4 linked regions of the Caenorhabditis elegans genome follow. The protein of the gene in region 1 purifies or fractionates together with the protein of each later gene. This does not show direct contact. Each region holds a gene or a part of one and is shown in the gene's direction. Other genes may lie near its edges.

What was found.
Region 2: the proteins of lin-41 (region 1) and wago-1 purify together in Caenorhabditis elegans (affinity purification with mass spectrometry, with the first as the bait; one large-scale study listed by BioGRID). This does not show direct contact.
Region 3: the proteins of lin-41 (region 1) and ooc-5 purify together in Caenorhabditis elegans (affinity purification with mass spectrometry, with the first as the bait; one large-scale study listed by BioGRID). This does not show direct contact.
Region 4: the proteins of lin-41 (region 1) and nmy-1 purify together in Caenorhabditis elegans (affinity purification with mass spectrometry, with the first as the bait; one large-scale study listed by BioGRID). This does not show direct contact.

The regions. Positions count from the first base shown.
Region 1 is NC_003279.8:9,338,781-9,344,405, reverse strand, and holds the start of lin-41 (Protein lin-41), read left to right. Parts: upstream 1-1,909; 5' UTR 1,910-2,088; intron 2,089-2,492; 5' UTR 2,493-2,508; coding exon 2,509-2,644; intron 2,645-2,691; coding exon 2,692-2,953; intron 2,954-2,996; coding exon 2,997-3,046; intron 3,047-3,089; coding exon 3,090-3,230; intron 3,231-3,277; coding exon 3,278-3,549; intron 3,550-3,936; coding exon 3,937-4,208; intron 4,209-4,262; coding exon 4,263-4,386; intron 4,387-5,453; coding exon 5,454-5,550; intron 5,551-5,589; coding exon 5,590-5,625. UniProt on the Caenorhabditis elegans protein: Heterochronic protein which acts downstream of let-7 in temporal patterning. Plays a role in the developmental timing of postembryonic hypodermal seam cell division and fusion events and adult alae production.
Region 2 is NC_003279.8:7,232,954-7,239,808, forward strand, and holds wago-1 (Argonaute protein wago-1), read left to right. Parts: upstream 1-2,430; 5' UTR 2,431-2,454; coding exon 2,455-2,619; intron 2,620-2,665; coding exon 2,666-3,246; intron 3,247-3,290; coding exon 3,291-4,023; intron 4,024-4,071; coding exon 4,072-4,247; intron 4,248-4,290; coding exon 4,291-4,466; intron 4,467-4,508; coding exon 4,509-4,855; intron 4,856-4,901; coding exon 4,902-5,141; intron 5,142-5,181; coding exon 5,182-5,489; intron 5,490-5,534; coding exon 5,535-5,646; 3' UTR 5,647-5,839; downstream 5,840-6,855. Other genes in the region: hasp-1 (non-specific serine/threonine protein kinase), read right to left, coding at 1-167; R06C7.2 (BEN domain-containing protein), read right to left, coding at 707-872, 920-1,107, 1,151-1,175, 1,226-1,548; dhp-1 (Dihydropyrimidinase 1), read right to left, coding at 6,131-6,281. UniProt on the Caenorhabditis elegans protein: Argonaute protein which is involved in the endogenous small interfering RNA (endo-siRNA) pathway. Interacts with secondary 22G-RNAs, which are RNA-dependent RNA polymerase-derived endo-siRNAs, typically 22 nucleotides in length with a 5'guanosine residue.
Region 3 is NC_003280.10:8,990,543-8,995,418, forward strand, and holds ooc-5 (Torsin-like protein), read left to right. Parts: upstream 1-2,617; 5' UTR 2,618-2,630; coding exon 2,631-2,724; intron 2,725-2,766; coding exon 2,767-2,874; intron 2,875-2,923; coding exon 2,924-3,107; intron 3,108-3,158; coding exon 3,159-3,843; 3' UTR 3,844-3,992; downstream 3,993-4,876. Other genes in the region: Brix domain-containing protein F44G4.1, read left to right, coding at 4,094-4,660, 4,711-4,876. UniProt on the Caenorhabditis elegans protein: May serve as a molecular chaperone assisting in the proper folding of secreted and/or membrane proteins.
Region 4 is NC_003284.9:2,907,226-2,912,988, forward strand, and holds the start of nmy-1 (Myosin-11), read left to right. Parts: upstream 1-2,301; 5' UTR 2,302-2,330; coding exon 2,331-2,461; intron 2,462-2,509; coding exon 2,510-2,702; intron 2,703-2,749; coding exon 2,750-2,906; intron 2,907-2,963; coding exon 2,964-3,115; intron 3,116-3,197; coding exon 3,198-3,218; intron 3,219-3,885; coding exon 3,886-3,978; intron 3,979-4,033; coding exon 4,034-4,196; intron 4,197-4,663; coding exon 4,664-4,807; intron 4,808-4,856; coding exon 4,857-5,330; intron 5,331-5,384; coding exon 5,385-5,763.

The DNA.
Region 1 (5,625 bases):
GTATGTCGAAAACTCCCATCTTTAGACGACTATGTAATAGAGGTCTTCATTTTTCACTGTTCGCCTTAATTTGTATTTCTTATTTCATTCACAATTCCTGTTTGGTTAGTTTCGGTCTGAGGTATTAAAAAAAGAAACGCACGCTTCGCGACGTTTCTTCTCCTTTTTTTGCGAAAAAAGTGAAAAAGTACACTACTCTTTCAAACATGAGGCCTTGCACTTTTGGCACGAAATTCTGTTTTTGCGACGACGGCGCGGCGGAGAAGATCACTGGGGGTGAGAGGGGAACACTGAATGGAAAAAAGAATGAGAAAGAGAGAACAAACTAGAGACACGCAGAGATCAAAAGCACTGAGCCCAGTGAAAGAGAAACACTTTGGTCTCTTCGTCTTCCCCTTCTTCCCCTTTTTTCCGCAAAAAAAAAAGAGTTTTCACTCTTTCTCTAACCATCTGTCCACTCTCGTGCAGCCTACCCCCAGCAGTCCTTCGGCGCGGCGCTCACCCCCAGGTGTGTAGAGAGTGGGAACGACGAAGAGACTACAGACATTTGGGGCGCCTGGGGGAGACAGCGGGGCAGCCTAGGGGTGGAAATTTAGAGAAATGGAGAGGAAAGAGGGGAAAAAGACTTCTACACACACACACAGACATACACACACTTTTATCGTTCCCACCGTGTTCAATGTCCCATAGGTTTTTGCGATTTTTTTTTCAAAAAATGAATTGAAGTTACTTCCAATGTATATCTGTTAGAATCTGTCTTGATATGAAAAAGATATGTCACGCCCCTTTATGATATTTTGAGACTTTAGGTCAAAAGGTCACAAGTTCAATAAGTCTTAGAAATAAAAATCAGTAATTGAAACGAAATTCATGAAACTTTGCTTCCAGATATCCGGACATGTAATATTTAATAAAAATTAGCAATGAATAGTTAGACATGTATCTTTTATATGGTTCATCCAGAACATAATTCGTACAATATATTGGTTTTTGCTACGTGGCCTAGAAAGTCCAAAAATTCGGCCAGTGATTCATCTTTAATTTTTCACTTCAGAACTTTGTGAAGCTTGCCGACCAAGTTATTTCAACGAGCAGATTTTCGAGAAAATGACCATAGCTCCTTTTAGGAAGGTGGCCGTGTTTTTGTATGTCGCGGCCACATAGTAAAAATCACTCGGTGTAAAATGTGATCCTAAGACAAATTCCAACTTTAAGTTTTTGGCCTGGAAAACCTAGAGAATTGTCCAGAAAACTCCTACAATTTCGAAAAAAGGGGCGTTTTTGTTTATTTTACTTTGATTAATCCAACGCGAGATGTTTATTTAGTTAGTGTTTTTCGCATTCTTCAATTTTCGCTTCCCGGTTTCTATTGCTTCGATTAAATCCCTGTAAAGCTTTCACAAAGCCTAAAATGTTTGCCATTTCCATCACTTTTTAAGGAGCTGCTCAAAAACTTACTTCCGTATTGAATTTTTTGGAAGGAAAAATGTTTCAGATTTTTTTGTTTAATTTTTTTTGAAAATTTATCGAAAAAACAAATTATGTCGCAAAAAATGTTTGGTAAAACAATTTTTGAGATAGAGAACCGTACCGTAATCCTTAAAGGCGCATAGTCGGTTGGAAAAATTTTGTGTTCGTGACGAGACCCAACACATAAAATTACGAGTTTTCATCTAAAAATAAGTGTTTTCAGTGAATTCTTCTATCAAATAAAATTTTAACAAATTTATTACAAAAAACTCTTTAAAAATATCTTCAGATACATTCAAATTCATTTCGCCCCGTATTTTCAAGGAAAAATCGATAAGCTACCGTAACCCCATTTGTTTTATTATTTTATTGTCGCATCATTTTTCGATAATTTTTGAAAAACATTCAATTAATATATTTAAGTCTCGTTTTATTTCAGGCCACGGTTGGCGAACGGGTAAAAAGGAAGAGCCGATCGCCTCGTTACTCAAGGAAAAGGCTCGACGTCGCTGGAGGAGGGAAAAGTTGGTTTTTTAGGATAAAAACCAACTTAAAGTACAAAAAGAGCCGGAAACGGCGGGAATGCGACGTTGGAAACGATCGTGATCTTGAATAAAGGTGAGGAACTTTTAAATAACAAAGCAAAATGCGAAAATATATTAAAAATTAAAAACGTCGAAAAAAAATTAATAAAATTTTTTTATTCGAAAAATTTTGACCTACCACAAATTTTTTGACTACTTAATTTTTTGTTTTTTGTTTTTATTTTCGAATATTAAATTGAAAGAGCGGCATTTTTCTGATTTTCCCATCAAAAATCCTTGTCATCAGCAGCCCTCGGGCCATTTTTCTCTCATTTTGTTCCATTATTTTCATATAAAAAGTGCACTTTTTTTGTGCTTCACTGACTTTTTTGTTCGATTAATTGTTCCATTCGTTCTGAAAAGTCAAAAAATTCATAAGTATTCTAATTGTAGAGTCATCGTTTGCCCTTTCCACTGATAATTAATCAACCTTTTCAGACTTGGAAAAAGTGAAATGGCGACCATCGTGCCATGCTCATTGGAGAAAGAAGAAGGAGCACCATCAGGACCTCGTCGGCTTCAAACTGAGATCGACGTGGACGCCAACGACAGCGGAAACGAGCTGTCGATGGGCGGAAGCAGCAGTGAAGGTAACACTTGAAAATTGAAAAAAAAGCTTCCAACGAAACAACTTCAGGTGACTCAATGTCCCACCATCGCGGTGAGCATTCACCAAACCATCATCATCAGGATAATCATCTTGGCTCGGGACCACCACCACCACAGTTCACTGGCTCACTATTTGACACTCCACCGTCAATGATTCAGTCACCACAGCAGCAACCACAGTTCCAGTTCAACACTGGATTCGGACTCGGACTCCCGCAAGACTCCTTTCGGTGCTCAGTCTGCTCCAAGAGCTCGACGATTGGAGTGCTGCCGTTCGTTTGTGCGCACAAGTGGGGTTTCAAGACAAATTATCAAAATGACAATTATTTTTAGAACGTGCCAATCATGCTACCAGATGACACCGTCCTCGTACGATCGACGGGGTAAATAAATATCTCAACTTTCTGTATGATTTATGAATTTTAGCTTGCAAGCTGTGTGGTGCCGTATCGACAGCCACCGCCAACTTTACATCGCAGATGTACCTGTCTCCGACGCTTCCATCACCGCCACGTGGAGCTCTGATGTCGGATTGTTCGACACCAACGATGAATAATCACATTAATTGTATGTTTTAATTCTCAATTTACACCGAAGAATAACCCAAATTCCAGCATCAACTCCACTTCATCAACCTCGTGCATTCTCATTCTCACTCAGTGGAATGCCTGGATCACCGTCTCCAGTGATGGGTGCACGGATGCCATCGTCTGCTGGTGGGCTCATGATGCGTCCAATTGGATTCCCCGACTCGGACAGCAGTTTGACATCATGGTCTCCATTGCAACAACCATCACAGCTTTCTATCAATAATCTGTCGAGCATCGGAGGACACCAGCAACAATCGCCGATGTTGATGCAAAATGTGTTTGATTCGTTGGCAGTGGTCAGTTTTTATCAAATTTCAAACAGAGAAAAGTACAATTTTGTGGAGTGTGGAGCTATAAACAAATTCAATTTCCCGAATTTATGATGTTATATATTATGTGGTCGCAAATCGAAAAATGGTTCAATTTACGGTTTCGCCGTCAATACCTAACGAGACCCAACTTCTGGGGGTGGACCTCGATTAAAAAATGAGCATTTTTCTACGGCCCCATAATATTTCAAAAATCATTTTTTTCGCAAAAAAAAGTTAGCATTTCTCTCTTCCCAAGAAACATATTTTTCTCCCTGGCTTCAATAAGTTCAATAAGTCTTTTTTCTAATTTTTTTTGCTAAATGCGCCCTCCTGCGAGCTGAAATTGCACCTAATTCCTCGTATTCTTTACAGAACGATGATACTCCTGTATTCTCTCCACTCTCTCCAACGAATACTTCAATGCATATGCCACCATCATTGATGGCATCACCAGATGTTCCAAAACATTCTGCAACCATAGCTCCACCACGTAATTCCATGTGCTCGACGCCACGTCTTCAATTGGCAACACCAATGTCTTCACAATCACAGCAAACTTTTCCAATTCCTTCACCACTTGGATCTCAGCCACAACAACAACAGCCAATGGGTCCGATTCAATGTCAAGGATGCGAATCGAAAATGTTAGTTTTCCCCTAAAACTTCAAAGATAATTAAATTATATTTAAATTTTTCAGATCGTTCGCCTACTGTATGCAATGTCAGGAAGCTTTGTGTATTCATTGTGTTCAAGCTCATCAGCGTGTTCGAGCCACCAAACAACATGCGTTCGTTGAGCTTCAGCAGTTGATGGCTACTTTGGTTAGTTTTTATCTTATCGTGTGTTACTACACGCTTTTTGCGTCTCAACACGACAATTATTTTTTTGGAAATTCATAAAAAGTATGCGCCTTTAAAACGTACTGTAATTAAACTTTTCCATTGTTTTTCATTAAATATTTGTATATTTATTTATCGAAAACCTAAAATTAAAAATTAAAACCATAAAAAATCGATGAAAATTCACAGCTACAAAAATTTGAAACTACAGTACTCTTTAAAGGCGCACACCTTTTTGTAGTTTACAAAAATTGACATTTTGAGACATGATACCGTAGTTTGGGAGCAAAAAATAATATATGTGGTCTATATTAATATCACCTTGATCCGTTTCAAGATTCTCCACGTGCTTGATGACGTGAATCGTTTGTAATCAGGAATCATAAAAAGAGTACGCAATAATCATAAATCAATGACTCCTGTCAATCAAGAAAAAACACAGAATCAGTACTTTTTTGGTGTATTTTTCCGTTTTTAAATGTCTTATCAGTAACTGATTGCAGGATTAGAACACAAAAATTGGCTGCCGACCGTTCCACTACATTAGTAAAACTTCTTGAAAATAACTTTTTGAAAACTATCAAGGAAAGTATTTCAGCTCACTTTTAGATTTTTAAATGAAACTTGTGTCAGCAGTTTCACATTTTTCAAACAAAACCAAGTTCCAAAAAGCTCCCAGAGTGTTTGCTTACCTCCAAACACCATAAACATCACCAAAAGCTTGCAAAAATCCACATTTCGAAGAAAACAATTTACTGAAAGCAGTTTCAGAGCTGAAATACTTTCCTTACAAGTTTATAGATTTTTCTATCCGAATATGTCCACGTACTAGGAAATTCCCATTTTTCAACATCCAGGCGTTCGTTTCCCTTTTTCTTCTCCTTCAACCACCTTTTTTCGCCATTATTCACAAGCCAGTCGGAGGGCCAATTTAGTGCCGAGAGAGAGAGAGGTGTCTGCTCCTCATCCGGTGCTCTTTTTGCACTATAGTATTATTTTTTGCTCGGCGAACACGTAATTCCTCTAAAATCTAAAAGTATTATTTTCAGATGAGCCGTGCAGTTCAACCACAACAAGCACAGCAATACACTCAAAATGTTGGAGGATCAGTTCGTCAAGCACTTGGATCAGTTGGAAGTGGAGATGGTATATGAAGATATTCTACAGTAATTCAAACTGTTTCAGTTTTCTTTTCAGGACATGTGTCTGGCGTTGAAAATG
Region 2 (6,855 bases), 2.1 Mb from region 1:
TTAAACGACTTAAACAGCGCCGGATTTTTTGAAAACTCATATTCAGGAAAGTCGATCGGGCATTCTGTGATAATTACGCTTGACAATTGACGATTTCGTCGGGCAAAATTATTTCGAGCTTTTTTCCCGGGCGATATTGGCACTTTTATTCGGGGTTTAGGAGGCATTCTGCAAAAAAAAGTGGAAATTGATTAAAACGTTATATAATGTAGCGCAAAATGCAAAGAGTTGGTTTGAAACAATAAATAACGCGCCGAAAATATAAATGAAAGTGCGCTCTACGGAGAACACTGGTATTCCATAACAAAAAAACAAAAAAAATAAAATTTCCATGTATTGGTTTTTTGAAAATTTTCCCAATCTAAAACTTTGTTCAAAACCAAAAAAGCGAAAGAAATATTATTTTGGTGATCCCGATTTTTCAAACTTAAAACTGAAATAAGTTTTATGATTTTTATGGGTTTAAGGAGACTACAACAACATTGCACGTACAACTTAACATAACAACAGGCTACATTCTATAATCTGCACTCAACAACAACAACAAAAAATCAATTTCCACGTAGGTCAAAACAATAATAGGGCAACGGGGGAAAATGAAATTAGCAGTTACACCACTTACTATTAGATACGCATTGTATGTAACGCAAAAACAAGAATGACAGGGTGGGATACAAATAAAAAATCATGGTATGCTTCTCACAAACTAGAAGTTGGAATTGAAAATACTACAATTTGATTGAATTATTAGTGCTGAAGCATTGACACGACGGTCGATCAGGAAGCCGGATTCCTTGTATTTGATGCTATCGGTAATCTGCTTCATACGAGCTGCCTCTGGTCCAGAAACTTCGGGAATTGCATCCGCAATGCTGCAAAAATATTTTAATATCAACTGTTGTCATTTTCTTAAACTCACATGGCTTCATTCCACAAATTACGACCACTCTTCGCGTACTCATTTGCAACATACATTGGTGTTGGAAAAAAAAGAAGTTGGAAGTCTGACAATTTGGTGAAGGTGGCACAATGGAAGTGAAATACACGTTCGAGCAATTCGTCATTTTCCGAGATTAAAAAAAAAAGGATTTGAAGAGGTAGATTTTCCTTGAATAAAAAAATCGTTATTGTCGATAACAGGAGAACTGACAAGTTTCAGTTCAAGGGAATTGATTCTAAAATAGAAAAAAAATGTTAAATTTAATCTCGTGCAGAAACTACTTACAAATTTCGAAGCTTCTTGTTCTCGCGTTCAGTATCTTGAAGCTTCTTTCGATTATTTTCCTCAAAATTGGCTAGCTTCGACAGTTGGCATGTGATTTCCTGTGTCCTTTTCTCTGTTTTCGCCGTTTGATCTTTTAGCATCACCGACTGAAATAAAACTTTTTCTTCTGCATGAAACAAGTGCAAAAAATTACCTTTTATTTTTCGTTTTCCTAATAAATTGAATTCTGAATACTTTAAAAACCAATAATTCTGGTGAGACGTTTGAGAATATCTGTACTTTTTACAGTCACGTCGCGAATCGGGATGTACAGCGCTGAACATTTTCCGCACATTTTCGGCAGATTTCCATCTATTTTAAGAGTTTTCGTAGGGACCTTACACAAATAACAAAATCCAGCAGTCTGCGTTGTTCGACAAGATGTGAGAGCAGGTGGTGATGTAAAATTGCCTTCTTGCTGGCGGGAATCCACATAGGTTGCAAACGATTAACTTCATTGCGATCTAAGCTACAAGCCTGAATTAGATGAGTATCATTCAAAATAAAATTAACAACTAAGTCACTTTTTAAAACATGGAAAGCACACAATACTTGTAAAAAGGAGAAAAATAAGGCTGTACAGCAAAAATAAATTCAAGGAGCGTTCGTTTTAACACTGAGTGGGTCTCGCAGCGATCTCCATTCTTATGTACTGTATGCGTTGTCATTTAAATTTTTTAGGACGAAGAAATTGTTTTTTGTATTCTTTTCCGGTTTGTGACAGTTTTCAATAATTTTTGTTAATTTTCAAGATTATTTTTATATTTTAATAATAATCTAGTTACAAAATCTTAAGAAACTTGCTCGTTGAATCTTAAAAATGTAAAAGTGATCTACATTTGATCTAGCCGCCAATTATCGGATTCTGTATTCTTGCGTCATTAATAATGATGATTTTGTACAAATCTAGTCGTTATTTGTTTTTATGCCGCCTCTGAAACACCGAAAAATCTCGAATCATTATTCTTTTTCGTCGGCAATACGAAAATTCCGTAGTTTGCCCTTTCTTCATAACGTACCATTTTCGTTCTAGATTGATCTCTTGAAGAAAACTGATTTATTTGTTTAAACTATTGTTAAATATCTCACAAATTCATAATTTTCTATAGATGTTCTCCAATCTCGCTTATTCGGTGCAGAATATTATTTATATAAGCTTTTTTCAGAACTAATATTGCAATAGTAATAAGATGTCTCCTCATCCACCACAACCGCATCCACCGATGCCTCCAATGCCACCAGTCACTGCTCCACCAGGAGCTATGACTCCAATGCCTCCAGTTCCAGCCGATGCTCAAAAGCTTCACCAAAGCACTGGCAACGACGCATGCATCAAGCGTTTACAACAGTTAAACGTATGTTTATCAGCATTCAAAGATCTTTCTAATGCCATATTTGCAGGTTGAGGATGGTGCGAAAATGTACATGAAGCCAACCGAACCTGGAAAAATGGGCAGACCAGTGGACATCCAAACCAATGTCTTCGGAATTGAAGTCACAAAGGAAACCACAGTTCATCGTTTTATGGTTCACGCAAAGGCCGATTTGACTTCAACAAAGGAAGTGACTTTCACTAAAAAAGGAAAGGAGGACTTCGTCGTTCAGGATCGTCGCGATAAGTGTTGCAACATCTTTTTCCTTGCGGTTGAGAAGAACCCGGAATTCTTCAAAATGAAGGATGGGAATCAGATTGTATATGACGGTCAATCAACTCTCTACACGACGGTCAACTTGTTCTCAGAACTGGATGCCAACGGTACGAAGTCCAAAGTCTTCCAAATCAACGGAGCTGATACCGGCAATGACGACCTTAAGACCCTGCCTTGCATTTCTCTCGAGATTTATGCCCCAAGGGACAACTCTATCACGCTCTCTTCTGAAAATCTGGGCAAGCGTACTGCGGATCAAAACATTGAAGTAAACAATCGAGAATACACTCAATTCTTGGAACTTGCTCTGAATCAACATTGCGTGAGAGAAACGTAAGTGAATTTCGAAAATTATTAAAAGCATCGCTTCATTTTAGAAATCGTTTCGGATGCTTCGAGCACGGAAAAGTATATTTCCTCAACGCCACCGAAGAAGGATTCGATCAACGAGACTGTGTCGACGTAGGAGACGGAAAACAACTTTATCCTGGCCTCAAGAAGACGATTCAATTCATCGAGGGTCCTTATGGTCGCGGACAGAACAATCCATCTCTCGTGATTGATGGTATGAAAGCTGCTTTCCACAAAGAGCAAACTGTGATCCAAAAACTGTTCGACATCACGGGACAAGATCCTTCAAATGGACTCAATAATATGACCCGTGAGAAGGCTGCGGCAGTGATTAAAGGACTTGATTGCTATTCGACTTATACCAACAGAAAGCGCCATCTAAGAATCGAAGGTATCTTTCACGAAAGTGCCACAAAGACCAGATTTGAGTTGCCCGATGGAAAAACTTGTTCAATCGCCGAGTACTATGCGGACAAATACAAGATCAGTCTACAGTATCCGAACGCCAATTTGGTGGTTTGTAAGGATCGAGGCAACAACAATTACTTCCCGGCTGAACTGATGACTGTGTCCAGAAATCAACGTGTCACCATTCCTCAGCAAACGGGAAATCAATCTCAAAAGACAACGAAGGAGTGCGCGGTTCTTCCGGATGTCCGTCAGCGAATGATCATCACTGGTAAAAATGCTGTCAACATTACACTCGAAAACGAGTTGCTCGTCGCTCTTGGAATCAAGGTTTACTCGGAGCCTCTGATGGTTAGTTTGTGTAAATTGTAAAAAAATATATTTGTTTTCTTTTTCCAGGTCCAAGCACGTGAGCTTGATGGAAAAGAACTTGTATACCAGAGATCGGTAATGTCGGATATGGGAAAATGGCGTGCGCCTCCAGGATGGTTTGTGAAGCCTGCGACTGTTCCTGATTTGTGGGCTGCTTACGCTGTTGGAAATCCAGGTTGCAGATTCTCCATTGGAGATGTCAAGTAAGACAAATAGAAATTTACATGAATCAATTCAATTCTTAAGCCAACTCGTCGGAATGTTCATTGATTCTTGCAAGAAGAAAGGCATGGTGATCAAGCCACCATGTGAAACAGGACTTTACAGTACGGAAAAAATTATGACTCAGCTGGAAAAAGTGGCTGCGAGTAAGTGCAAGTATGTCTTGATGATCACTGATGACGCAATCGTTCACCTCCACAGTAAGTTTTCCTTAAGTTTTCATGGTTCATTGAAAATTTCAGAGCAGTACAAAGCCTTGGAACAGAGAACAATGATGATCGTCCAGGATATGAAAATTTCCAAAGCCAATGCCGTTGTCAAAGATGGGAAGAGATTGACGTTGGAGAACATCATCAACAAAACTAACGTGAAGTTAGGTGGTCTTAACTACACTGTTTCGGATGCAAAGAAGAGCATGACCGACGAACAATTGATCATCGGAGTTGGCGTTTCCGCACCACCGGCTGGAACGAAGTACATGATGGATAACAAGGGACATCTTAATCCACAAATCATTGGCTTCGCTTCAAATGCTGTTGCAAATCACGAGTTTGTCGGCGATTTCGTTTTGGCTCCCTCCGGACAGGACGTAAATAATTAATGTGTTCGAGTTAACAACATGGTAATTTTTACAGACAATGGCATCAATTGAAGACGTGTTGCAAAATTCAATCGATTTGTTCGAAAAGAACCGCAAAGCGTTGCCAAAAAGAATCATCATTTATAGAAGTGGTGCATCGGAGGGTTCTCACGCTTCTATTCTGGCTTATGAAATCCCATTAGCCCGAGCTATTATCCATGGTTACTCGAAAGAAATCAAATTGATTTTCATCGTCGTCACTAAGGAGCACAGTTACCGATTCTTCCGTGATCAGGTAAATTTGTTTTATTATTCTCTTTACGCTAACTTTTCAGCTTCGTTCGGGCGGCAAAGCCACTGAAATGAATATTCCTCCGGGCATTGTCTTGGATAACGCTGTCACGAATCCGGCATGTAAGCAGTTCTTCCTGAACGGTCACACGACTCTTCAAGGAACAGCAAAGACACCATTGTACACTGTTCTTGCTGACGACTGCAAAGCTCCAATGGACCGCCTGGAGGAGCTGACCTTCACTTTGTGTCATCATCACCAAATTGTTTCCCTGAGCACGTCGATTCCCACTCCACTTTATGTGGCAAATGAGTATGCAAAGCGTGGAAGAGATCTCTGGGGTGAACTAACGTAGGTTTTTTTTGTTTAAAACAAAAATTTATTTATATTTTGCAGGACTAAAGGACCAATTGAAGCAAAGGAGTCGCAAGGCGAGCGCCTCAAGGAACTTACAAAGGAAATCGGCTACAAACAAACCGATCTCAATCAGAAGCGCGTCAATGCATAGATTTGGAGCTATGCCACATACACTTGATGTTTTACCTAGGATAATAATTTTACGGTCACCTAGGATAATAATTTTACGGTTTTTCCGCTAGTTTTATTGTAATTTTTTAGTCAAATGTTTTATATTTTTGTAATGTGGTTCTGTGTGACCCGTAGTAATTAAACTCGGTATGATAAAAGTTTTAGGCTGATAATATTTTTCAAAGATTTGCTTTGTGCGTAAAAGTTCGAGGCGATGTTTTTTGAGGATCTTCAAGTGAAAACGAAGATTGTCTGATAATGAGGGGGAATTTTGTTCGATTTTTTTTTGAAATTGGAACATTAAACATTTCTAGAGCTGCTTCCAAGTCAATTGACTAGTCGACTAAATATTACTTTTTGGTTGTAATCTCAATATTGAACAAACAATTTATTCACGTTTTTAACTCAAAATGGTAATTCGAAAGTTAATCAGAACAAGAAAAGTAATAAATAAAAAAGCAATTTCATTCAAGCCTTTCAACTATCCTTGGTTGAATTTTCTGTTCCCTTTTCTCGTGAGTTGAAAAAACGAATGGTGAATTCGCAAGAAGGGGAATAAATTTCCCAGATCCGGGAACTGTTTGAAGTTTTCCGTGAGCCCATACAATTCGCCCTCTGTAATAGATTGTGGTTAATGTTGTGCCATTGAGAGAATATGTCTGAATACAAGAATCAAACATTTTTAGATTATTTTTTTTTTTTTGCATTGGCCGCCTTCAAAAATTAAGACGATAAAATGAGCGTGCGGAAACCTTCTTCCAACCATGTACGAAATGCTATTATGGGAACACAAAATTTTGAGAATGCGTATTGCACAACATACTTGGCGCGCAAAATATCTCGTAGCGAAAACTACAGTAATTCTTTAAATGACTACTGTAGCGCTTACGGACATCATTTAATAAATAATCGATCAAATATTAGAAGAAAACTTAAAAGCTACAAAATATCGTTGTCACTATTCGAAAAGAAATTCATTTCAAAAATCGAGCCCGTAAATCGACACAAGCGCTACAGTTGTAATTTAAAGAATTACAGGAGTTTTCGCTAAGTGATATTTTGCGCGTCAAATATGTTGTGCAATACGCATTCTCAGAATTTTTTGTTCCCGTATTACAATTGCTTTATACTTCATATTAAGATACAATGTTTAAATCTGAACCTAAAATCCTATAAGTTGCGGTACTTA
Region 3 (4,876 bases), on another chromosome or scaffold:
ATTAAAAGTTAGAGAGCTCCGTGTGCAGGAATGGATTGTGCCACATCATTTATCCGCACAATGCAAACAAATAATTGAGTCATTTCCATTCAAACATGGATCACCACCATCAAACACACATTCATCGAAACGTGGAATATGTGTTTCATTTATTTATGCACGATTGGTTCGAAATATGTGCAACTAAAACTTCATTGTAAAAAATAACTTTCTTTTACATGAAAACGTAGCTAATTGTAAGATTATTTTATCATTGGACAAAAATTATTTGACTTTTTTTAATCTGGAAAAAAGTGGCTAACATCTAGGTTTCACATATCAAAACTGTGTATGTCGTCCAAAAAAGTATCCTACGAGTTTTATATTTTAAAGATGCTTCAATCGTTCGGATCAGAACATTGTTTAGGTTTTAGCCTACAGTAATCATAAAATTTGAAAAAAGTACCATATTTAAACAACTTGGCAGGTTGCCAAAACTTTGAAAAACATTTTGAAAATCAAAATATTTTGTAAGAGTTTATATAAATCATTACTGAAAATACTTTAACTTTAAGATCTAACTTCATTTTTTCCAAAAGTCTGTCCCGTTTAAAACACTAATTTAAATAAAGTTATCCCCATCAGGGATATGCGCAAATTATACAAATTAACCTATTGCGGCATGTTGATCCAACATTTTTAAAAATTAAAACGTAGTGTCAAGATGTAGAAAAATATATTATTAATCTGCAACATATATTTGTTCTAGGTTAAAACTGCGTAGGTATGTATGCTCGAAAATACATGAAAGTTGCCAATTGTATTTTTGGTAATTGCCCAACTTTGATTCAATTTTTGTTTTCAAATAAATATATTTTTGTATTTTACTAAATAAAACTGAAAACAATCGGAAAGTTGCTAAATGGTTTATTAGTTTTTTGTGATTTCCAAACAAGCTATTAGAAAGTTTAATCAAACTTTCTTTTGTTTGATGAAATTGAAGACCTTATAAAACTTTTCTGAAGGTTGAAATATTTTTGAAAGCATTTTTAAATAGAGTTATACATATAACAGAAAAGCTAATACCCAAGGTAATTCAAATATTAATCGATTCGTGGAAAAGTGTGAAAAGTGAACTTGGAATAGTCGGGGGAAAATCAAAATCAAATAGAAATAGTTAAACATAGAGAGACCCGATAGATAGAAATAGAGAAAAGAGTTGAAGTATTTTGAAAAACTTTGATAACGGGGAAGAATCGACTGATCACGCACAACCATCATCAGCCAACAGCAGCACCGCCCCTCCCCGCATTTTATGGCAACAAGAGCAAATAGTTTATCATTCTTGTCACCATCTAGTATAGAAAAAGTACAACATTTTTGTGGTGAACTGAAAAATGTGACGGATTCCAATTGACTCATCCAGATGTGAATTCAGAGAATAATTGAACATGTATTGTAAGAATATGAAAGAGGAAAAACACATTATTTCGGAATGTGCTATTCCAAAAAAGATCCTGCAAAATTTTTTTTCAAACAAAGAATCAATTTGCCTGATTACAAGAATATACCAATTTCACAGAACGATTGGATGATTTCGGAGATTGTCGACGACAAAAATGGAGAGGGAGATTATTAGGAGCTAGATATCGATAGGTATCCGAAAAAAAGTTTTATTCTAACATTTTTACTCCTCCTCACTTCTGAAAAAATATTGTTCGACTTAAAAATTTGAAATTCCCAGTACCCTTCCTGGGCGCGTTCTGCAGACATAGCTATTACCGTATTTTCTTAATTAGTCTTTCACACTCTAAGGCCACTTGAACATTAGTATGCAGGTTCTAATAGTCTTTCGCTGAAGTTTTGACAGACCAGCGATACCTTTTGGAAATTTCAGTAAATTCGTCATTTTTCGGGCAGATTAATCTTAAAAAACGTCCAAATAACCGATGAAGTATTGGAAAAGTATGTTTTTTTTAGAGCTTTTCTTGGAAATAAATCAATAAGCAGTATTGGTGTCTTTTATATATGTGTCTTTTATATACCCATTCTATAAGCTTAAAGGAGGGCACATTTACGCGGAATGGTCTCGGCACGCGCTCCAAACTAAGTTAAAAACGTTTGGCATGTGCGTCTTTAAAACTACTGTAGAGGTTTTGCAAGCGAATTTTTATCGATTTCCTTGTTTTCTTCCTATTAATCGTTTCTTTCAGTTTCTTTTCCAATTTTCTAGAAATTATGTGTTCAATTTGTGTTTATTAGTAATAATGAATGTTATAGACAAGAAAATAAGCATGTTCACTAGGAAAAACTCTCTTTGATTATTAGTTTTCTGTATTTTATTTGTACCGCTGTTTTTTTTCTTCTTTCAATAATTTTCAATTTTTCTACCCAATTAACAATTGTAGGCTTCCAAATTCCACTTTCCGAAATTTTTTTTATGGGTTACGGTGTACAAATCTGCAAACAGCGCCACATAAAAATGCACGGATATTTTTGCCCGTTTGCAAAAAAAAAATTTTTGCCTTAATTTTATTATAATTTTATCAAATTCATGTATAAAACTATAGTTTCAATTCCTGGAATTAAACAAAACTTCTATTTTTATTTTTCGTGTCCTTTACTCGAGCGTAATATCAATTTTCAGGTGGATGAAACTTGATTATGTTCTTCTCCTTCTTTTCCATTTGTGCTTTGTCAACACGGAATTGATAAGCGTGATTACCGGTAAGATTAAAGATTCCGGTGAGAAGAAGTCGAATTTTTAATTATATTCGGTTTTTTCAGGCACGACTATCGCGATATCGGCCGGAGCGTTTTGGGGTCTTAAGGATCGTTTAAAGTGTTACTTATATGAATGCTGTCATGAACCTGACGTAAATTTCAATTATCACAGTAAGATATTTTCCACCTTTTCACTGAATTCAATTATTCTTAATTTAAGCACTGGACGCGGATATTGCAAATCTACTGTTTGGCCAACATTTGGTAAAGGACGTCGTTGTAAATTCCATAAAATCTCATTGGTACAATGAAAATCCCCGAAAACCACTGGTTCTTTCGTTTCACGGTTACACAGGCTCAGGAAAGAACTATGTCGCTGAAATTATAGCAAACAATACGTTCAGGTTCGGAATTTGTTAAATTTTTAGTTGAAAAACAATAATTTCTAATTCCAGGCTTGGACTCCGCAGTACTTTTGTCCAGCATATCGTGGCGACCAATGATTTTCCAGACAAAAATAAACTGGAAGAGTATCAAGTTGAATTAAGAAATCGGATTCTAACAACTGTACAAAAATGTCAACGATCAATATTCATTTTCGATGAGGCTGATAAACTACCAGAGCAGTTGCTAGGCGCAATTAAACCGTTCCTCGACTATTATTCGACAATTTCTGGCGTGGATTTTCGAAGAAGCATCTTCATTCTACTAAGCAATAAAGGTGGAGGAGAAATAGCAAGAATAACAAAAGAACAGTACGAAAGTGGCTATCCACGTGAACAACTCCGCTTGGAAGCTTTCGAACGAGAACTTATGAACTTCTCATACAACGAGAAAGGTGGCTTACAGATGAGCGAGCTCATCTCAAATCATCTTATCGATCATTTCGTTCCATTTCTACCGTTACAACGAGAACATGTCAGAAGTTGCGTTGGTGCTTATCTTCGAAAACGAGGAAGAGGAGATCTGGTGTCCAACGTGGATTTTGTCGAACGAGTTCTTAATTCTCTACAATACTTCCCTGAATCTTCCAAAGCATTTTCTTCATCCGGGTGTAAACGAGTCGACGCTAAAACGGATCTAGAAATGGCCAAGATACGGCCACTTCTCTCAAGTGTTCATTTCGACGATGAACTATAACAATTTTTCTTGTTCATATCAGTATTAGTTACCACTATATCTTACTTAATTTCTAAATTATTACGGGAAGCTGTACATGTAAGCTATTGCATTCCTCGATGATTACCTCATTTGCCAATTTTTCAAACAGTATAAATATTCTTATTAATTTTTAACTTGATTATTCGCTATGCTTGGGTTCAATATCCAGTTTATATATATTTATGTATATTTTTGATGCCTTGTTGAAAATGCTCGTACTTTGTTTCAGATGGCTCCAAAAAAGTCCAAGAAGTCAAAGAAAGAAGAGTCGATGATTGATTTTGTCGAAGAAGAAGTTACTGGTGACGTCGATGAAGATGGTTTTGAACAAGCCGAAGACATGCCAGATGAGGTGGATTCAGATGAAGATGAGCCACCGAAAAAGAAGAAGAAAGTTGTGAAGAAAGAAATCAAACAAGAACTAGAATTGACCGATGAGAAGCTTCAAGAGTTACTGGAAAAGTATGAAGCGTCTAAGGCTACAGCCACAAAAACAAAAGACGACTTCAAACATCTGCCAAAAAGTCAACGTGGAAAAGCATTGAAAAGAGCATTGAGAAAGGACAAAAGAGCCAGACAGGGAGAAAGAGCTCAGATTCGAGATGAACTGGGAGAAAGTGCTCCACAAAAAGAAGTTCCAAAAACTATTGAAAGTATGCGGGAGTATGATGCGACGATGGTAAATGAAGAAGATGACGAAGTTGAGCACGACGAGGCCAACGACGAGTTTGCACCATATTTCAACAGAGAAACATCTCCAAAAGTAATGATCACAATGACTCCAAAAGCTAAAATCGTAAGTTTCACTTCTAAAATATTCAAAGCATTGATTTACCATATTTTCAGACAACCTTCAAATTCTGTTTCGAACTTCAAAAATGTATTCCAAACTCTGAAATATTCACAAGAAAGAACGTATTGCTCAAGACAATCATCGAACAGGCTAAAGAAAGAGAGTTCACTGATTTGCTTGTTGTACACGAAGATAGAAAGAAGCCAAATGGAATTATTT
Region 4 (5,763 bases), on another chromosome or scaffold:
CCTAGTTAGGCTTGAGTCATTGCCGCATATTTTTGCCTCGTTGACACTTTATTCATATATCTGATTACAAAAGATGTCCTTAAAATTTCGGTGTCAAACCATCCACCCCTTGGGGCGGTGATCACAATCTCCGTGAACACCGGCGTTCTGTTCTGCATATCCATATCCGAAAAGTACACGCATCATACGGGTCATCTATACGCAAGAGTTGGATAGGTGACAAATAGTTTCTTCATGTTGTATGTCTGTATGTGTATATATCTATGTATGTGTGTGTGCGACTGTGCGTGTGTCTGTGTGTGTGTGTGTGTATGAGAAAAGGTGAAAAAGTTGGATGTGCTTAGAGAAAGAAAGAGAGCGAGGAAGAAGGATGAACGACAAGAAGGTTGGGTTGGCGCGCGAATCAAGGACATCAATTCTTCGAACCAATCCTTCACACACTCCCCCCCCCCCCCCCCCTTCCCTCCTGAATCCAGCCTGATGGTCGTGCGGCAACCTCGTCCCCGCTGAGTTATTCTGACTACCTGGCGGCGATGCGAACGAAAGGTCCTTCTTCGTGTTCGCCTTGTTCGCCGCTGTTCACTTTCACCGTACGACGCCTTCCCTTCCACACTGCCTGAGACGTTTTGAGAGATTTAACTCGACACCCTCACTGTATCCGTCCTCGATCACACACACACGTCTAGTACCACATAACAGCCGCTTAGGAGGAGAGGCGATTCTTCGTTTCTTGTTGGAGAACAACTGGACACCTTGTCCGTACTTTCCATCCTCTCACCAAACCGCCTTCTCTCTTTGTTCATCGTTCGCTTCCTTCAGCACTTTTATTTATAATCCAGTAATTTGTCGTCTTTCTGTTTTCCATCAACGTTTTGAAATCCAAATCGGTTACATTCCTTGACCTCGATAGCGTTTTGTCCCACATTATTTATATTTGAGTCCATTTTTAGATTTATTTGTTTTAATCCAACTTCCCCATATAATTTTTCAAATCTGAAGGTTCCCAATTGGTAAGTTGTTAGGAACCATTTTTATGGCGACAAAATGACCAAATATCAAAATAAAACTTTTCACAACAAATTTGAAATTTTTGAAATTTTTTTATTGACAGTGAAATAGTGGCATTTACCGAGATTTTGCCACTTTTTGAAAAAAAATTAGAGCACTATAAGTGTTTTAATACAAATATTTTTATCATAAATAGACCATAAAATTAACTAGGAAATTTTCTTGATCTACGACTTTCACAAAGTGGCAAAAACTAAGATTTTTTTCAATTTTAAAAATACCATTTTAAATTTTTTTAAATTTTTTGAAAATATTTTTATTATGAAATTTGTAGTGTCATATGCATGTTTCAAAAATTGTTTTTCCCCACTAGCGCTACACTACCTTTAATGCCAACTTGAAACACTTTTGCATTGTTCGCTTCATCTTCATTTCCGTTCAAGACCCAACCAAAAAAAAATTCCAATCCCATGTTTCTGGCGTGGAACGGACATCAAAAATGTTTATAAAAACGAATCGTTCAAAAAAAATCGTACAGATGATTCATTCCCAGGAACACATTGTTTTTGTTGGCGTTTTCCCGCGTTTCCTCCCAGATTCTCCGCCTTTCCAAGCTCCGCCTGCATGAAAGCATTTGTCTAGAATTTTTTAGAATAATATTTTCTATCACAAGCGTTGGAAGCGATTTTGAATTTCCATTTGTCTTAAGAAAGTCTTGAAAACAAAATCTTTGTTTTCAAAATTTAGTGTTTGAAACTATTATCGTGGTACAAGAATTACCAAATATCATTGTAGAACATTTAAAAACATTTTTTTATTTCCTGTCAAAACATGCCCCAGTTTTTGTAACTTATGATTTTGGAAGCCGAGCAAAAAAATTTTTGCAAGTTTTATACTTTAATTTTTTTAAATTAATTTTTTTTAAACATAATTTCCTTAACACTAATATTTTCAAAAATGTGGCAATTCACCACAGCTTTCACTAGAAAGTTGAAAAAATCCAAAAATTTTTGGAGTCTTTCATTATGATATTTGCACATTTTGGCCTCTTGCATTTGGTCTTAAAACGACCAAAACTGTACATGATTGTTTGGAGAACAAATGTTTATTAAATTTGATTTGCTTCAATCGTACACGTGACTCACCTCTTCTTATTGTTTTATTTTTTGCGCCCATCCGCTTTCCCATCGCTTCTCCGCCCACTTTCGTTTCTCTTCTTTTTTCAGTTTCGGCTCATTTTCCGCTCTTTACATCTTATAGCAAAACGGATCTCAATTTCAATTAAAATTGAAAACAATTTTCAGATATTACGAAGTTAACAAATGGGTGACCTGCAGTACCTGCAGGTACAGAGGGCGGCCGTTGCCGATCCTGCCACACTTGCCGCGTGGGCACAGCGGAAACTGTGCTGGGTACCAGATCAGAACGAAGGATTTCTCATTGGATCCATCAAGTGAGTTTGCGTGCTCTCAACTCATTCCGTAATCGGTAGTAATTTCAGACGAGAAACAAACGATGAAGTGCTCGTCGAGCTTGTGGACACGAGTCGCCAGGTCACAATCAGCAGAGATGACGTTCAGAAAGCGAATCCACCAAAGTTTGACAAGATCGAAGATATGTCAGAGTTGACGTATTTAAACGAAGCGTCGGTACTTCACAACTTGAAAGACAGATATTATTCTAGTTTAATTTATGTGAGTTGAGAAAAAAAAACATTTTAATTTCAAAATAACTATTTTAGACTTACTCTGGTCTCTTCTGTGTTGTTATCAATCCTTACAAAAAGCTTCCAATTTACTCGGAAGATTTGATTGAAGAGTTCAAAGGAAAAAAGAGACACGAAATGCCACCACACATATTTGCAATTGCTGATACTGCGTACAGAAGTATGCTTCAAGGTGAGCAATATACATACTTTCCAAACAAAGCGTTTGCAAAAATCATATTCTTTTCAGAACGCGAAGATCAATCGATCCTGTGTACCGGAGAGTCTGGAGCAGGAAAAACTGAAAACACGAAAAAAGTTATTCAATATTTGGCTCACGTTGCTGGAGCCACTCGAAACAAGTCGCTAAATGCTGCTGCACAGCAAAATATTGTTCAAAAGGTTAGTTACTATAAATATTTGTTACATCTACTTTAAAAGGTATATGATGAAGAATAATAATTATTATAATTGATATATTTAGCCAGATGTCCGCAATCCGATCGTAAGTTTGATCTTGTTATCTTGCTATTTTGTTGTGAATTGTTGTCGTGACATTGTCGTGATACACTTTTCTGTGACTATTTCAGTAACAAAAAATATTGTTCCGTAACAATTTATTTATTGATTTTTCTTGTTCAGTACATCACCTTGTTCTAATATGTCAACAAAATCCAACAGAAAAAAACTTGTCTAATCATATCTAATTATGTTAATTGTTCTAATTGATTTGAAGAAGCAGTAACGGTTTTTGTGTATTTTGAAGGTATATACCCAAAATGTGCTCAACTAAAAAAAGTCGTAATAAGCCAAAATTGAGTATTTTGGCGAATGTTATCCATTTTTTCGAAATTTTTAAGCTGTGGAAAAAACATTTTTAAAAATTCGAGAACATTTTAAAGTTTATAAGTTCAAAAATTTTCAAACCGTTTCTCCTCCTTTAAGGAAATCAACAAAAAAGATGCAGTTCTTCCCCATTTGCTGCAAACAGATTATTATAAAAAATGCTTTTAAAATCCAAACGGCTTTCTCCAAACAAATTATTCCCAAAGAGCTTCATCCTCGAATCAAAAAATGTTGTTTTATTGTGCTCACAACCTGATCAAAGTCATGTTAATTCATTTAGCCACCACTGCAAAATAGTTTTACACGTTTAATATCGAAGTTTTCAGGGAGAATTGGAACATCAACTACTTCAAGCCAATCCAATCCTTGAAGCTTTTGGTAACTCGAAGACAGTGAAAAATGACAACTCTTCCAGATTCGTATGTGTGATATTTTTAATCTTGCCCCCCGTGCATATTTGGTTTTTTTTTTCAGGGTAAATTTATCCGTATCAATTTCGACATGAGCGGCTACATTAGTGGTGCGAACATTGAATTTTATCTGCTGGAAAAATCGAGAGTGCTTCGTCAAGCTCAAGACGAAAGAAGTTTCCACATTTTCTATCAGATACTCAGAGGATGCAGCGCCAAAGAAAAAAGTAGGTTGAGTCATAAAATCCAACATAAGAATTGGATTTATAACAAACCGAACGCATTTGTTTTTATTAGCCTGGTGAATCATGCGTGATTCATCATTTGACAAAAATGACGTTGAAAATTTTTAAGTAAAACCGTTAGGCCTTTTAAAAATTGAAACAGGAGTAACCCAAGTGGAAAAATGGTTATAAACCACTTATAAGTGTAACCAAATATCATAACAAAACTTTTCAAAATCAATGTTGAAAAAATTTAATTGACGGTCAAAAAAGTGCTGTTATTGAGTTTGTGCTACTTTTTCAAAAAACTATAGCACTACCGCATTTTTGAATCCCTACAGTGTTTAAATATCAACATTTTAAACATTAATTGATCATAACATTTGAAAGCCCAAAAGAGTGACAAAAACTGAGTTTTTTTCATGTATCAAAAAATTATATAAAATTCCACATTTAACTAATAATTTCAGGTGAGTACCTTTTGGAAGGAGTCGACAACTACAGATTTTTGGTAAATCGTGGAATAACTCTTCCAAACGTAGACGATGTTCAAGAGTTTCACAGCACAATCAACTCCATGCGCATTATGGGATTTGCCGACGATGAAATTTCATGTACGTAAACCATATTGAACCTGAAAATCAAAAAACCATGTTTTTTCAGCAATTATGCGTGTTGTTTCTGCCGTCCTTCTTCTCGGAAACCTGGAATTCACTCAGGAGAAGAAGAGTGATCAGGCAATGCTTCAGGATGACAGAGTGATTCAGAAGGTGTGCCATCTTCTTGGTCTCCCAGTAATCGAGCTGCAGAAGGCGTTCCTCCGTCCACGCATCAAAGTTGGAAGAGAGTTTGTGAACAAGGCACAAAACCAGGAACAAGCCGAGTTTGCCGTCGAGGCCATTGCAAAGGCCAGTTATGAAAGGCTGTTCAAATGGCTTGTGACCAGAATCAACAAGTCTCTTGATAGAACTCACCGCCAAGGAGCATCATTCATTGGAATTCTCGATATTGCTGGTTTTGAAATTTTTGATATCAATTCATTTGAACAAATTTGCATTAACTATACAAACGAGAAACTTCAACAGTTGTTCAACAATACCATGTTCATTTTAGAACAAGAAGAGTATCAGAGAGAAGGTTTGTTTTTTTTCGGAAAATGTAACTTGCAAAGATTTACAATAATATTTTCAGGAATTGAATGGGATTTCATTGATTTCGGACTCGATTTGCAGCCGACAATTGATCTTATTGAGAAACCAATGGGAGTTCTGGCCCTTCTTGATGAAGAATGCCTTTTCCCTAAAGCGAACGACAAGTCATTTGTTGAGAAGCTTCAGAAAACACACAACAAGCATCCGAAGTTCATTGTTCCTGATATGCGATCTAAGAGCCACTTTGCCGTTGTTCACTACGCTGGCCGCGTCGACTACTCTGCTGATCAATGGCTCATGAAAAACATGGATCCATTGAATGAAAATGTTGTTGGACTAATGCAGAACTCCACTGATCCGTTTGTTGCTGGAATTTGGAAGGACGCCGAGTTTGCTGGCATCTGTGCGGCGGAAATGAA